Cricetulus griseus: one gene and its partners. The protein of the gene in region 3 binds, or shares a complex with, the protein of the main gene of each other region. Links are inferred from orthologs where the notes say so. Each region holds a gene or a part of one and is shown on either strand. Other genes may lie near its edges. The genes, in order: Pold2, Pold4 and Pold1.

What was found.
Region 1: Pold1 (region 3) and Pold2 share a complex: the UniProt entries of both Homo sapiens proteins name them as parts of the tetrameric DNA polymerase delta complex. The link is inferred for Cricetulus griseus from reciprocal best matches to the Homo sapiens genes POLD1 and POLD2.
Region 2: Pold1 (region 3) and Pold4 share a complex: the UniProt entries of both Homo sapiens proteins name them as parts of the tetrameric DNA polymerase delta complex. The link is inferred for Cricetulus griseus from reciprocal best matches to the Homo sapiens genes POLD1 and POLD4.

What each region holds. Positions count from the first base shown.
Region 1 is NW_023276807.1:98,956,702-98,960,825, reverse strand, and holds the start of Pold2 (DNA polymerase delta subunit 2), read right to left. Parts: upstream 2,806-4,124; 5' UTR 2,388-2,805; coding exon 2,387-2,387; intron 2,346-2,386; exon of another isoform or gene 2,195-2,345; intron 1,782-2,194; exon of another isoform or gene 1,721-1,781; intron 1,406-1,720; coding exon 1,130-1,405; intron 1-1,129. UniProt on the Homo sapiens protein: Accessory component of both the DNA polymerase delta complex and the DNA polymerase zeta complex.
Region 2 is NC_048596.1:55,018,193-55,021,723, forward strand, and holds Pold4 (DNA polymerase delta subunit 4), read right to left. Parts: upstream 2,299-3,531; 5' UTR 2,093-2,298; coding exon 1,996-2,092; intron 1,696-1,995; coding exon 1,606-1,695; intron 1,435-1,605; coding exon 1,323-1,434; intron 977-1,322; coding exon of another isoform or gene 952-976; exon of another isoform or gene 914-951; coding exon 877-913; 3' UTR 612-876; downstream 1-611. UniProt on the Homo sapiens protein: As a component of the tetrameric DNA polymerase delta complex (Pol-delta4), plays a role in high fidelity genome replication and repair.
Region 3 is NC_048599.1:153,410,758-153,414,401, forward strand, and holds part of Pold1 (DNA polymerase delta catalytic subunit), read right to left. Parts: intron 2,873-3,644; coding exon 2,732-2,872; intron 2,566-2,731; coding exon 2,455-2,565; intron 1,946-2,454; coding exon 1,754-1,945; intron 1,663-1,753; coding exon 1,574-1,662; intron 1,406-1,573; coding exon 1,289-1,405; intron 1,043-1,288; coding exon 929-1,042; intron 686-928; coding exon 538-685; intron 1-537. UniProt on the Homo sapiens protein: As the catalytic component of the trimeric (Pol-delta3 complex) and tetrameric DNA polymerase delta complexes (Pol-delta4 complex), plays a crucial role in high fidelity genome replication, including in lagging strand synthesis, and repair.

The DNA of each region.
Region 1 (4,124 bases), on a different chromosome or scaffold from region 3:
GAGCCACCAGAAACTGGAAGGATCTACTCTAAAGCCTCTAGAAGGCACCAGTCCTGCTGAAAACCCAATTTCAGACTTTAAGCCTTTAGAACAATGGGAGAATAAATATATGTTGTCCTAAGTCCCCTGTTTACAACACTTCATTACCATGGCCACAAGAAGCAACTGTGAAACACATTACCTACGTCTCAGTCACATGCTACATCCCGACAATTACCATGTCCTAAGACTTCAGATTCTTTTGTTTTTTTCAAGATGGTGTCTCACTACATAGCCCTGGCTGTCCTCAAACTCACTCTGTAGACCAAGCTGGCCTCAAACTCAGAGACCCCCCACCTGCTTCTGCTTGCCAAGTGCTGGGATTAAAGGTGTGCACCACTGTATCCAACTAAGACCTTGGATTCTTATGTGTCAGCCCCTGCTCCACCCAATGCTTCATCCTCTGAAAATATACCTTACATTTCCCACTTGATGTCCCCTCCACCTCGGTCCATTTTATTCCCTGTGGAGTCAGCAGCCTTGCTCATTCAAAGCCCCCAGGAGGCAAACCAAAACGCAAGTGAAGGTCCCTTATGCTCAGCAGGAAAGATGTGGAAAGCCAAGCTGGGTAGGAAGAAGGAATGCAAGTTCCAGAAAGTTCCAGGGATTCATCAGCACAGACCCAACCCTAGAACAAATTGCTGAGGAGGCAGGGTGAAGTGGAGGCTCGGCCAGAACCACACTCATGCCCCGGAACAGCCAAGAACATTCCTCAGAGCTCCACCCGGAGGAGCGGATTCCACAGAAGGAAGGCAACTCTAGCACCACACAGAAGTACCTGTGGCTCTGCTATGGCTTGGGTGTGGTCCATCCCTCAAAGACCAAGGCTTTTGGTGCCCAGCCTGCCATGGCCTGCTCTCTAGCTAGCTAGAGTGGGCGAAGGGTGCCTAACTTGCACTGAGGACAGGAAATAGCGGCTACCACTGCCAGAACTCAGTCCTTACCTCAGACCAGCCTCTGAGCCAAACCTAACTTTAACCCCACAGGTTAATTTAACCCTCATTATTATTAACTTAAGAAGCAACAGAGAGCTAACAACACTAAGTTTCCACAGTAACTGGAAAGTGTTAACAGGTTAGAAGCAGCTTACCCCAGTGCTGCTGGGCCCGGCTCTCCAGGAAGGGTCTCATCTGGATGAGGCGGGTGGCATAAATATGAGCATACTGTCTGCTAAAGCTGCGCTCTCCCAGTCGAAAAGGCTGTGAGGAGTTGGTATAAGTTGCCACAGGCACCCGGGCAAAGGTGGCATTGCTGGCTGATGGTGGGGAGAGCAGAGTGTGGGCCCTCTGTGCTGCCTGCTCTGAGAACATGGCAGCGTTCCTGGCTTGTTCTGTCCACGCCGCTGTGTCCAGGCTAAGGAGCATCACTGTAAAGACACACAAAGTCACCCCTGCAACTCCTACTTGAACCCGAAGCAGGAGCTCCCCTGGTGTCTCAACCAAGCTGCCCACACTGCATCTGATGGGCACCGAGATATGTCTGGAGACAGCACCCTGTAGCCTTAGTCAGATAAAACCTGGAGCTTGAGCCAAACCCTGTTCATCTCCTCCATATTTCTACCCAGTTACCAGGGTCTCAAATTCGGCATACCCACAACAGAATTATTGATCTGCCTTCATTCACTTCCTTGGAAACTACCTTACTTCTGGGAATGCTGCCAAGCATCGTCAAAGAAGCTTACCACAGTATAATCTGGCTTACACTTCCACAGCACAGTCCATTACAGAGGGAGGTCAGGACAGAAACTCAAACAGAACAGGAACCTGGAGTCAGGAGCTGATGCAGAAGCCATGGAGAGGTGCTGTTTACTAACTTGCTCCTCATGGCTTACTCAGCATTTTTTTTTTAATTTTGATTTTATATGCATTGGTGCTTTGTCTGCATGCATGTCTGTCCGAGGGTGTCAGATCCCCTGGAACTGGAACTACAGGCAGGTGTGAGCAGCCATGAGAATGCTAGGAATTGAACCTGGATCGCTGGAAGAGCAGCCAGTGCTCTTAACTTCTGAGTGCTCACCAACCATAAGACAATTAGTGATAAAAATAAAACGTAAAGCTGCCCCTGCTCTGCTCAAGACTCTCCAATGGCTGCTATTTTAGTAAACAAAGCCTCAAGTTCTTAACACTACCTGTAAGATTTGTTCCTCCCCTCCCACCTGTTTCTCCTTCCAAGTGTCCTTTCCACAGCAGGGGCTCCAGCAGAGGCCTGTCTACTCTCTGTTGGCTCTTCTCCTGTGCCCCACAGGTTCACTGGATCTTCCCCTTCAAGTCTTTCCTTAAAACTCACTTCCCCACACCTAATTTACTACATCTGCCACTCCAATTGTTTGCATCTCTCAAGCATTTACTTTGCCTCCTCCAAATGCACTCAAAGTTCCAGGGAGGCCGGTTTTTGTTATCTTCAAGGAGGTATTGCACAATTGTCCCACAACGAGTCCAATTAAGATGTGCTCCGGGGATGCACGGAGGATTTCAGTAAATAATAACGGCTGGTTAAACATTTTTCATGCGTAGGTTAAACGACAACAGTCTGGATGTAGTAAGTTTAGAACACAGCCTTCTTTTCATTTTACTTTTTTGGTACAGCTAATACAAAGTTCAAATTCTTCTTGCTGGCTCTGCTTTCTTTAATGTGCAGCTCTGGCGTAGGAAGCGAACTCAACGAATTTGCCAAAAGGGCGCGTGTGAATTCAATGTAAGCCGAACACGCAGTGGTGGGCAGCGGCCCACACGGTGCCCGCAGCCAGACGCGACGGACGACCCGCCCCGCAGCAGGCGCCCCCAGCTCGGGCCTACGCAGCAGTCCGAAGCACCATCGAGACCCCAGCCCGTGGCCCCGGGAGCCCCCAGCCTGGCCCAGCACCCACATTAACCCCTCTCAGCAGCACACTCACCGCGCCGCGCCGCATCCCGCCAATCTCCGCGCGCCCATCCCGCCCATCACCGCATCCGGCCAATCGCCGCCCGCCCCGCCCCGCCCATCGCCGCACGCCTCGTCCGGCCAATCCTCATGTGCCCCGCCTCTGGAGGCCGAGGGACCGCGAAGCCACGCCTCCGGTTGCCCTGACAACGTGCCCCCCCCCGTAGATTTCCTGCGCATGCGAGTGTTTGCGGCTAGGTTACACAGTGTGAGCACGTTGGGTGTCATGGGCCGTTTTGAGCCTCTCAATCCGGGTCATGTCACACTTCCCTGGCTCTGGTGACCTGGTGGCTCCTGGGTGGATGAAGCTTTCCTCCAACTCTCTGTCCAACGCTGTGATACTCGCTCCAGCTTCAGAAGGCCTGTCCTAACAAAGCAGCTCATAGTAATCTGTGCAAGATAGCCACTATTCTGAATTCTCCGGTCTCATTGCACCCACTTCTCAGATTCCCTTTGAAGCATGAGCTAGTCTCCCATCTCACAGGCAGGGAAACCAAGGCAAAGAACAATCACCCAGCGGAATCTGGGATTCACACTAATACACCCTGGTTCTGTTTTTGGTTTTTAGTGGCTTTTAAAAAAAATTAATTGTGTCAATGCATGTGTGTCTGTGTATGGGTATATGCACGTGGCCTCAGAGGAGTACAAAAAGAGTGTGGGATCCCTTGGAGCTGGAGTTACAGGTGCTGTGAGCTACTCAACGGTGGGTGCTGGAGCCCAGCGCCAGCATTCTGAAAGAGTGGTTAGTGCTCTTGACTGAGCCCCTCCCCAGCCTCTTGTTTCTGCTTTAATAATGATTTTAATAATTTGTTTTTTTTAATATTTCACTTTGTCAAATAGTGTTTCCTATGTAGGTTGGGGTGAGTGTGGGGTGTTGGCCTGCTGGTGCAGGTTGTCTGTGGCATTTTTAAATACTATGTTGAAACATTTTTTTTTTTTTTTTGGTTTTTTGAGACAGGGTTTTTCTGTAGCTATGGGGGCTGTCCTAGAACTCACTCAGTAGACCAGGTTGGCCTCGAACTCACAGAGATTTGCCTGTCTCTGCCTCCCACGTGCTGGGATTAAAGGTGTGCACCACCAACATCGGGTGAAACATTCTTGTATTCCAGGGACAAGTCCCATTTGATGGACAAAGAAACTACTGAGTGGAATTAGAAACAGAGTTA
Region 2 (3,531 bases), on a different chromosome or scaffold from region 3:
CCTTATTTCCTTCATCTCTTCTCAAATGCTGCCTCACTATAGGGTCCTTCCTGTCCAATTCCTCCAAATATCACCTGGGCATTCTCTGACCCTCTACAGACCTCTCACCCTAATTTTACTTAATGCTGAACACCATATGACATAACTGATTTCCATGTTTGTTTTGCTATATTTCAGTGGTAGTAACACCCACGGAGACCTATGGTGTCAGAACATAATAGTTGCTTACAAGCTGGGCACCTCAGACAGGCTTTTTGCTGGCTGGTCAGGGAAGGAGACTCAGAGTGCTTTTCTAAGTACCACCAGGGGACACCAGAGGCTGCTCAGCTCATGAGAAGACTGCCTTAGAAAGACAGATAGGGAAGCCAGGTGGTATAGTGACACAGCCTTTAATCCCAGCACTCAGGAGGCAGGGGCAGGCAGATCTCTGAGTTCAAGGCTAGCCTGGTCTACACAGAGAGTTCCAGGACAGCCAGGGCTACACAGAGAAACCATGTCTTTGCGGCGGGGGGGGGGGGGACAGACAACACAAAAGCCTATAGCTGGCTCTCCTGCCTACTTACCTTTTGGGAACTGCCAGCTAGAGCAGAGTCATATTAAGGGACTAAAGGTCAGGATTTCAGGCTTAATGTACTTTATTGTAAGCGTTAGTGAACTCTTTGATTCTTCTGACATCTGGCTTTGAGTCAGGCTGTGCTGGATTTACTACATCAGAGAGGGTATGGCAAGCATCTGGTGGTCATGATTAGGCCCCGGAGGTGTGGTCTCAGGAGCATCAGGAGCCTGTTGCTTGGACAGGTAAGAGGCTGAATCAGGATGACCTCCACAGTCAGCCTGCTAACTGTTTCTCCAGAGCTGAGATGAGCAGAGCAGCATCTACTGGCCATGGATTCTGTCCAGAAGTTCTTGGTGGCTAGGAGGTGTCAAGGGAAGAACAACCCGGGTGGAACCTCAGAGTGGGTAGAGATGCCAGAGGCTGTGGGAGACAGGGGAGGAGGAGGAGTGCAGAGCAGAGTCAGTTCTATTCCTTGATGGATCTTCAGCAGTTCTTAACTATTGTGTGTGCTTCTGTGGCTTTGATGAACCCCCAGTACTCAGATAGCCCCATGGGCCCTGTATATACTCTTGCACCACCATTAGCTCTTAGAGGTAAGGATCATTAAAGGGGTCTGTCTTGAGCCAGGCACCTAGAAGACCCTTCTTACTTGTCAGGAAGGACCCCTTAAGTCTGTGCCCATTTCTCCAAGTCAAGGAAGCCCCTATGCAGACCAGAGAGTGGCAACTCCTAGAGAAGGGCCTGGTTCCCTGAAAGCTGTCCTGACCTGAATTGGAAGCGGGGGTCTTCAGAGTGTGTCTTCAGCACCTGGTGCACCTCTAGAGGGGGCTTCAAGCCCATCTGCTCTGCCCGATGCCAGCGCTGCATCCGTGTGATACCTGCCAGGGTGGAAAGAAGACTCAGCAGGGCAGAAGAGTCCAGGCTAGAGGCCTCCACACATGCCAGTCTCAGGAGACAGTGTTAGGCAGGCACTTGGATTATTTCTGAAACACATCGATGACAGAACTGGTTCAGAGATGTGCCTGGTGGGCTGGAGGTGGGGTTCTCACCTGTGCAAGGCCCATACTGCCAGGCCAGGTCAAACTGCCTCAGCAGCTCCAGCTGTGCTTCCTCCTGGCTGAGGGACTGGGTGTCTTCTCCTGCAATAACATGCAGCTCCTCAGGCCCATCCAGGCCTTTGCCCTACCCTGGACACAGCTGTGCCACTGGCTGTATCTTCACTCATTTGCCTTTGCCATCCAGCAGCCAGACAGCTCATCAGAAGTATGAGACATACTAGCTTCTCTCTCTCTCTCTCTCTCTCTCTCTCTCTCTCTCTCTCTCTCTCTCTCTCTCTCTCTCTCTCTCTCTCTCTCTCTCTCTCTCCTCTCCCCCCTCCCCTTTCTGGTCCTTGCATACTTGCATACCCACTCTTTCTGCCACCCCCACATTTCAGAGACCTAGCTCTGGTGCCAGCTCCCTCTTGCTGTGCCCAGGGGGCCCCTCCCTCTTCTTCACAACAGGGTAGGAGTCAGTGATGAACCGCTTCCGGCCCATGGCGGCCACCCAGGCAGGCGGAGCAGGAGGCAATAGCGGGAAAGAAAAGGCAGGGCAGTGGGCCTGTGAAAGACAGCTGCTGAGAGTGTGAGAGAGGGCCAGAGAGAGATGGGCCAGCGATGGACAGACAAGTTGACCCAGACAAGCAGAGAGAGGAAGTCCCTAGGTTCCAGAGAATGACGCCTGTCTTCCGCCCCCACAAGCACGCAAACATCAGAGCCTAAGCAAATGGCAAGCGGCCTTTGTGGGGCGGGACCCTAATTTTAGCCAATGGCAGTCGTCAGAGGGCAGGGGGTGGGGCAGCTGCTGCTGCGTCCGAGTGAGGAGGGTTTAGGCGGAACCAAGGACCTGTCAAGATGCCCCAGACTTCACCACCTCCTCCGGTCCCTCATTGGTCCACTTGGGTCCCTAGGGACATATAGAGAGTTATCCTCAGCCTCTCACTTCCCGTTTTTCCTTCCTAGGCAAATGTTCTTTTCAGCCTCACTAATCCCCGTGGCCAGTTTGTAAGTCCCCTGAGCCCGGCTGGAACCTTTTACTCCTGCCGGTTGGCCCCAGAGCGTTGTGGGATCAGATCTTTAGGTCCAAAGAGAGTTTGAACTAATCCTGGCCTTTTCCCTGCTCCTACCGGCCCCAAGAGACCTGGCTGGAGAAGCCCATGGGCTCCGAAGGCTCCTTTCTCACAGTCCGCTGGCAGAGACACTGTCCACCCAGCCCAGGCATGCGGTTGCTGTGTCCACTGTCAGGCCCGACAGCCTGCCTCTGTCCACTTTGCTAGTCAGGAAGATTCCATTCCAAGCAGGATGCCAGAAGTCTAGTCCCCACTCCCTATGGGTTCAGATCCCCAGTTCTCCCCCGCTGCCCCCTTTTGGTTTTTGAGGCAAGGTTTCTCTGTGTAGCCCTGGCTGTCCTGGAGCTCACTTTGTAGACCAGGCTAGCCTCAAACTCACAGAAATTGCCTTACAGAGATTTGCCTGCCTCTGCCTCTGCCTCCTGAGTGCTGGGATTAAAGGTGTGTGCCACCACTGCCTGGCATAGATCTCCAGTTCTTTTTTTTTTTTTTTTCGAGACAGGGTTTCTCTGTATTGCTTTGGAGGTTGTCCTGGAACTAGCTGTTGTAGACCAGGTTGGTCTCGAACTCACAGAGATCCACCTGCCTTTGCCTCCCAAGTGCTGGGATTAAAGGCGTGTGCCACCAATGCCCAGCTTAGATCTCCAGTTCTTAACTGACAGATATGCTCTGTTTCTTAGAAATGTGTATATAACAGAAAATAACATCAATAAACCTTTCCCTTATATTGGGCTTACCATGTGCCTAGAGCTGTACTAAGCAGTTCCCACAACCTTATTCAAAATAGACATCAAAAGAGTTTTGCAAGTGGGTGTAGGTAAATTGTGATCAGGGCTCTTAGTAACAGATACTGTGTAACTAGCCTTCC
Region 3 (3,644 bases):
GGTTTCTGTCTGAACCCTGGGTTGCCACATTGGTAGACATGAAAATGGGCACAGTCCTTTCCTATTCCTGTCCCAGCTGGTACTGGCCAAGATCTTCACACTTGGGACAGAGGACCCTGGAGCTTGCTAACAGGTGCCAGCAAATCCATCCTGGCTGTGTCGTCCCCCCCCCCCACTGCCCTGCCCCGCTTCCCTTCACAGGAAGGTGGAAGAGGCGAACAGAGGAGTAGCTGCTGGAATTGGAGTGTCCCACCAGTGACCCAGCATCCTGAGCGCCCACCTCATGTGACCCATTGGCAGAGCCCTAGAAGCCACTTGTGCTGTAAGCACTACCTGAGGCCAGAGTCTGTCCCGCTACACCATGAGCAAGGAGTACCAAGGAGAGGGACTCTGGTCCCCGACGACCCTGTATGTCAGAGTGCAGAGGCTGGCCTGATAGTTGGGATGCCTGCCATACCAGGACACCCTCTGACAGAACTGACCTCGAAATGCAGGCCAGCAGTAACCCAGCCACTCATTAGCATCCCAAAGGCTTACCTGAGAGATCTCCAAACATGGCAGCTTGCCCACCTGGGCACCAGTGAAGCCATACACAGAGTTGGCACTCACTTTCAGTGCTAGCTGCCGTCCATCCAAGACCTGCCGCCGCAAGGGGTCTGTCTCCTGAGCCAGCTCAGCCTTGGCCCTAGGTGGAGGCAGGATGGAAGCTGTTCAAGGGGACCATGGGTCTCAGGGAGGCACCTAGGCACAGACACTGGTCAGGGTGCCAAACATAGCTGAGTGTGCTCAGAATGTAGGCCCAGAAGGCAAAGGGGTGCTGTCCGGAAAGGAGCCTCATTTAATGTAGACACAGCTACAGATAGAAGACCTGGACTAGGTCACGACAGGGGAATCTAAGCACTAAGCAGGGCAGGGCTCCAGAGCCCACCTCTTCCGGGCACTCAGCAGATTCTCCAGGATCTGGGGCAGGAGGCCCTTCCGCACAGATGACTTCACAAACTCATCTCCAGTGGGTGTCTTGATGAACTCATCTGGTTTAAGGCTGGGGAAGGCAGAGGTACAAGAGACTGGGCTTTGGGCCTCCCTGGCTCTCCCCAGCTTCGCCCAGGCCCTGCTTCAGCCTCCCTCAGGTCAGCCTCTCCATTAGCCCCCCCACACACACACAGCCTGTCAAGTCCGTAACTCCCATGTCTCCTTTCCCTGGACCATCACTTCTTGGCCTGATCTATCAAAATGTAAAACAGGGCTTAGGATGGTTTGGGGAACATCCTGGATGAAGGCAGCATACCCCAACTTCTGGGCAGCCCCGGGCCGTAGCAGTGTGGTGTAGCACAGATTATGGGCCATCATGATGGATGGGTACAGAGAGGAGAAATCCAGGGTGGCAATGGGGACGTCATAGTACCTAAAGAAGGGTTGGAGAAGTAAACCCCCATCCTGCCCCTACCCTTGGCCCTTACCTTTAAATTTTTTTTTTTTAGATACAGGATCTTAAGTAGGTCAGGCAGGCCTTGAACTCCCCCTGAGTGCTGAGATGACACATGTGCCCCACCGTGCCCAGCAGGGTCCTCACCCTTTAAGGGGCTCAATGACAGTGGCTCCCGTGTAGTCCTCACCGCCCTCAGTCTTCACCACAGGCATCAGGAGCCCCTGGCGCATGGCCTGGAGAAGGGGTGGGGTGAGTGTCCAGGTACCAGGAAGGGTGTGTGCATGTATGTATGGTGGATGTGGCCAACGAGGTTCAGCCACCCACCTGGCGCAGCAGCTGAGACACGACCTTGACCTGTTGGCCCCGGCTGAGCAGGTATCCAAGGGGCACACCCGTGACACGCGCCATTTCTACATTGTTCACCAGCACCATAAGGCGCTCAAGCAGCCGAAGTGGCAGGAAGGCGTCCTTCAGGCAGTACACGGCCAGGCGGCGGCGTGTCTGCTCATTCCCGTTCTGAGGACAGGCATGTGAGGTCAGGGGCTCGGGCAGGGGGGAGGCAGGCGGGGGGGCAGGGGGAGAGGCAGGCGGGGGGGGGGAGGCAGGGGGAGGCAGGGGGGAGGCAGGGGGGAGGCAGGCGGGGGGCAGGGGGAGCAGGCAGGGAGGCGGGGGGCAGGGGAGGAGGCGGGGGGGCAGGGGGAGGCAGGCGGGGGGCAGGGGGGAGGCAGGCAGGCAGGCGGGGGGCAGGCGGGGGCAGGGGGAGGGCAGGGGCGGGGCAGGGGGAGGCAGGGGGGAGGCAGGGGGGGGCAGGCGGGGGGCAGGGGGGCAGGCGGGGCAGGGGGGCAGGCGGGGGGGGCAGGGGGGAGGCAGGCGGGGGCAGGGGGAGGCAGGCGGGGGGCAGGGGGAGGCAGGCGGGGGCAGGGGGGAGGCCGGGGGCAGGGGGGGCAGGGGAGGCAGGCGGGGGGCAGGGGGGAGGCAGGCGGGGGGGGCAGGCGGGGTTGGGAGGTCTTGGTGGATGGTAGCACCTGCAGGTCGGTGATGATGCTGTGCTGCACGTCCTCCTTCTGCTCACCCAGGAAGTGGAAGCTGACAGCATTCAGGGTGTAGGAGCGCAGCTTGTGCTCCCGCAGCAGCACCTGGGCAGGTTGGGACGGGGCAGGTTGGGACGGGGCAAGGACCTCAGGGGCACAAGGCACAGCCTCAAAGGTGTAGGAGGGGACCTGGAGGCTGTGGCACTCGGGGAGGTGCGGCAGGGTGGAGCCTCTTGAGGCAGAGTGTCAGGTGGGTGGGTCCCCCGCATACCTGCAGCATGTCCATCTGAACTCGACCCACCATGCTGACCACCTTACTGTCCCGCCGGCCCACCTGCCTCGACTGGAAGGAGGAGTCTCGGATGTTGGAGCGGAGACCAGTCACACGGCCCAGGAAAGGGAAGCGGTCCACCTGGAGAGGGCCAGGGGACAGCCAGTCAGCTCTGAACTAGGCCACATGGACAGGGACTAGCCATGGCATTCTTGGGGCCACTGAGGGCAGAGACTGCTTGAGAGGGATAAAGGAGACCAGGGACAAGGTTGAGAGCTATAGCCCTGGGAAGACTGAGAGACTGGTGACAGGTAGACACAAGGACTGTGCCTGGGGAGGGAGCAGAAGGAAGCCCCGGTGGGAAGGTTCTGAAAACCAGCAGGGGTGCCTTCAGAAGTTGGAATACAGACTGGCAGAGAGAGGGAGTCAGGGGAGGTGGAGCTGAGCGAGAGTCACCCAGGACATGAGGGCTAGTGTCTCCATGCAGCTGGGTAGGAAGGTCTGCTTTGCCTATTCACTACCAAACTGCTACAGATGCAGAGAGCAGGAAAATGGTACAGCATATCGTATTTGGGGCTGAAATGAACCCCCAGAAGATGCCTTGTATATCACCCACGACCCACTTGCAACAGAACTGGCCCTTGAAGAAGGATCAGACCAAACTGTGGTAAGGCCCAAACAGATGAGCGCCAGGGAGTCTCCACTTGGAGCCAGGCTCAGGAGGGCCTGCCCTGGAGCTCACAAAACACCAGCATCCCACACCTCCGCTGCCTCTCGTGTGCAGCTGGTAACAGTGGCTGGCACGAACAAAGCCCACATGTCCTTTCAACAGCACCCAGCCTTTGCCACCCACCAAAACAAACACCCATTTCCTTCTTCCAAGCCTCCACTCCCCCTCATGTCTCGCCAGTGA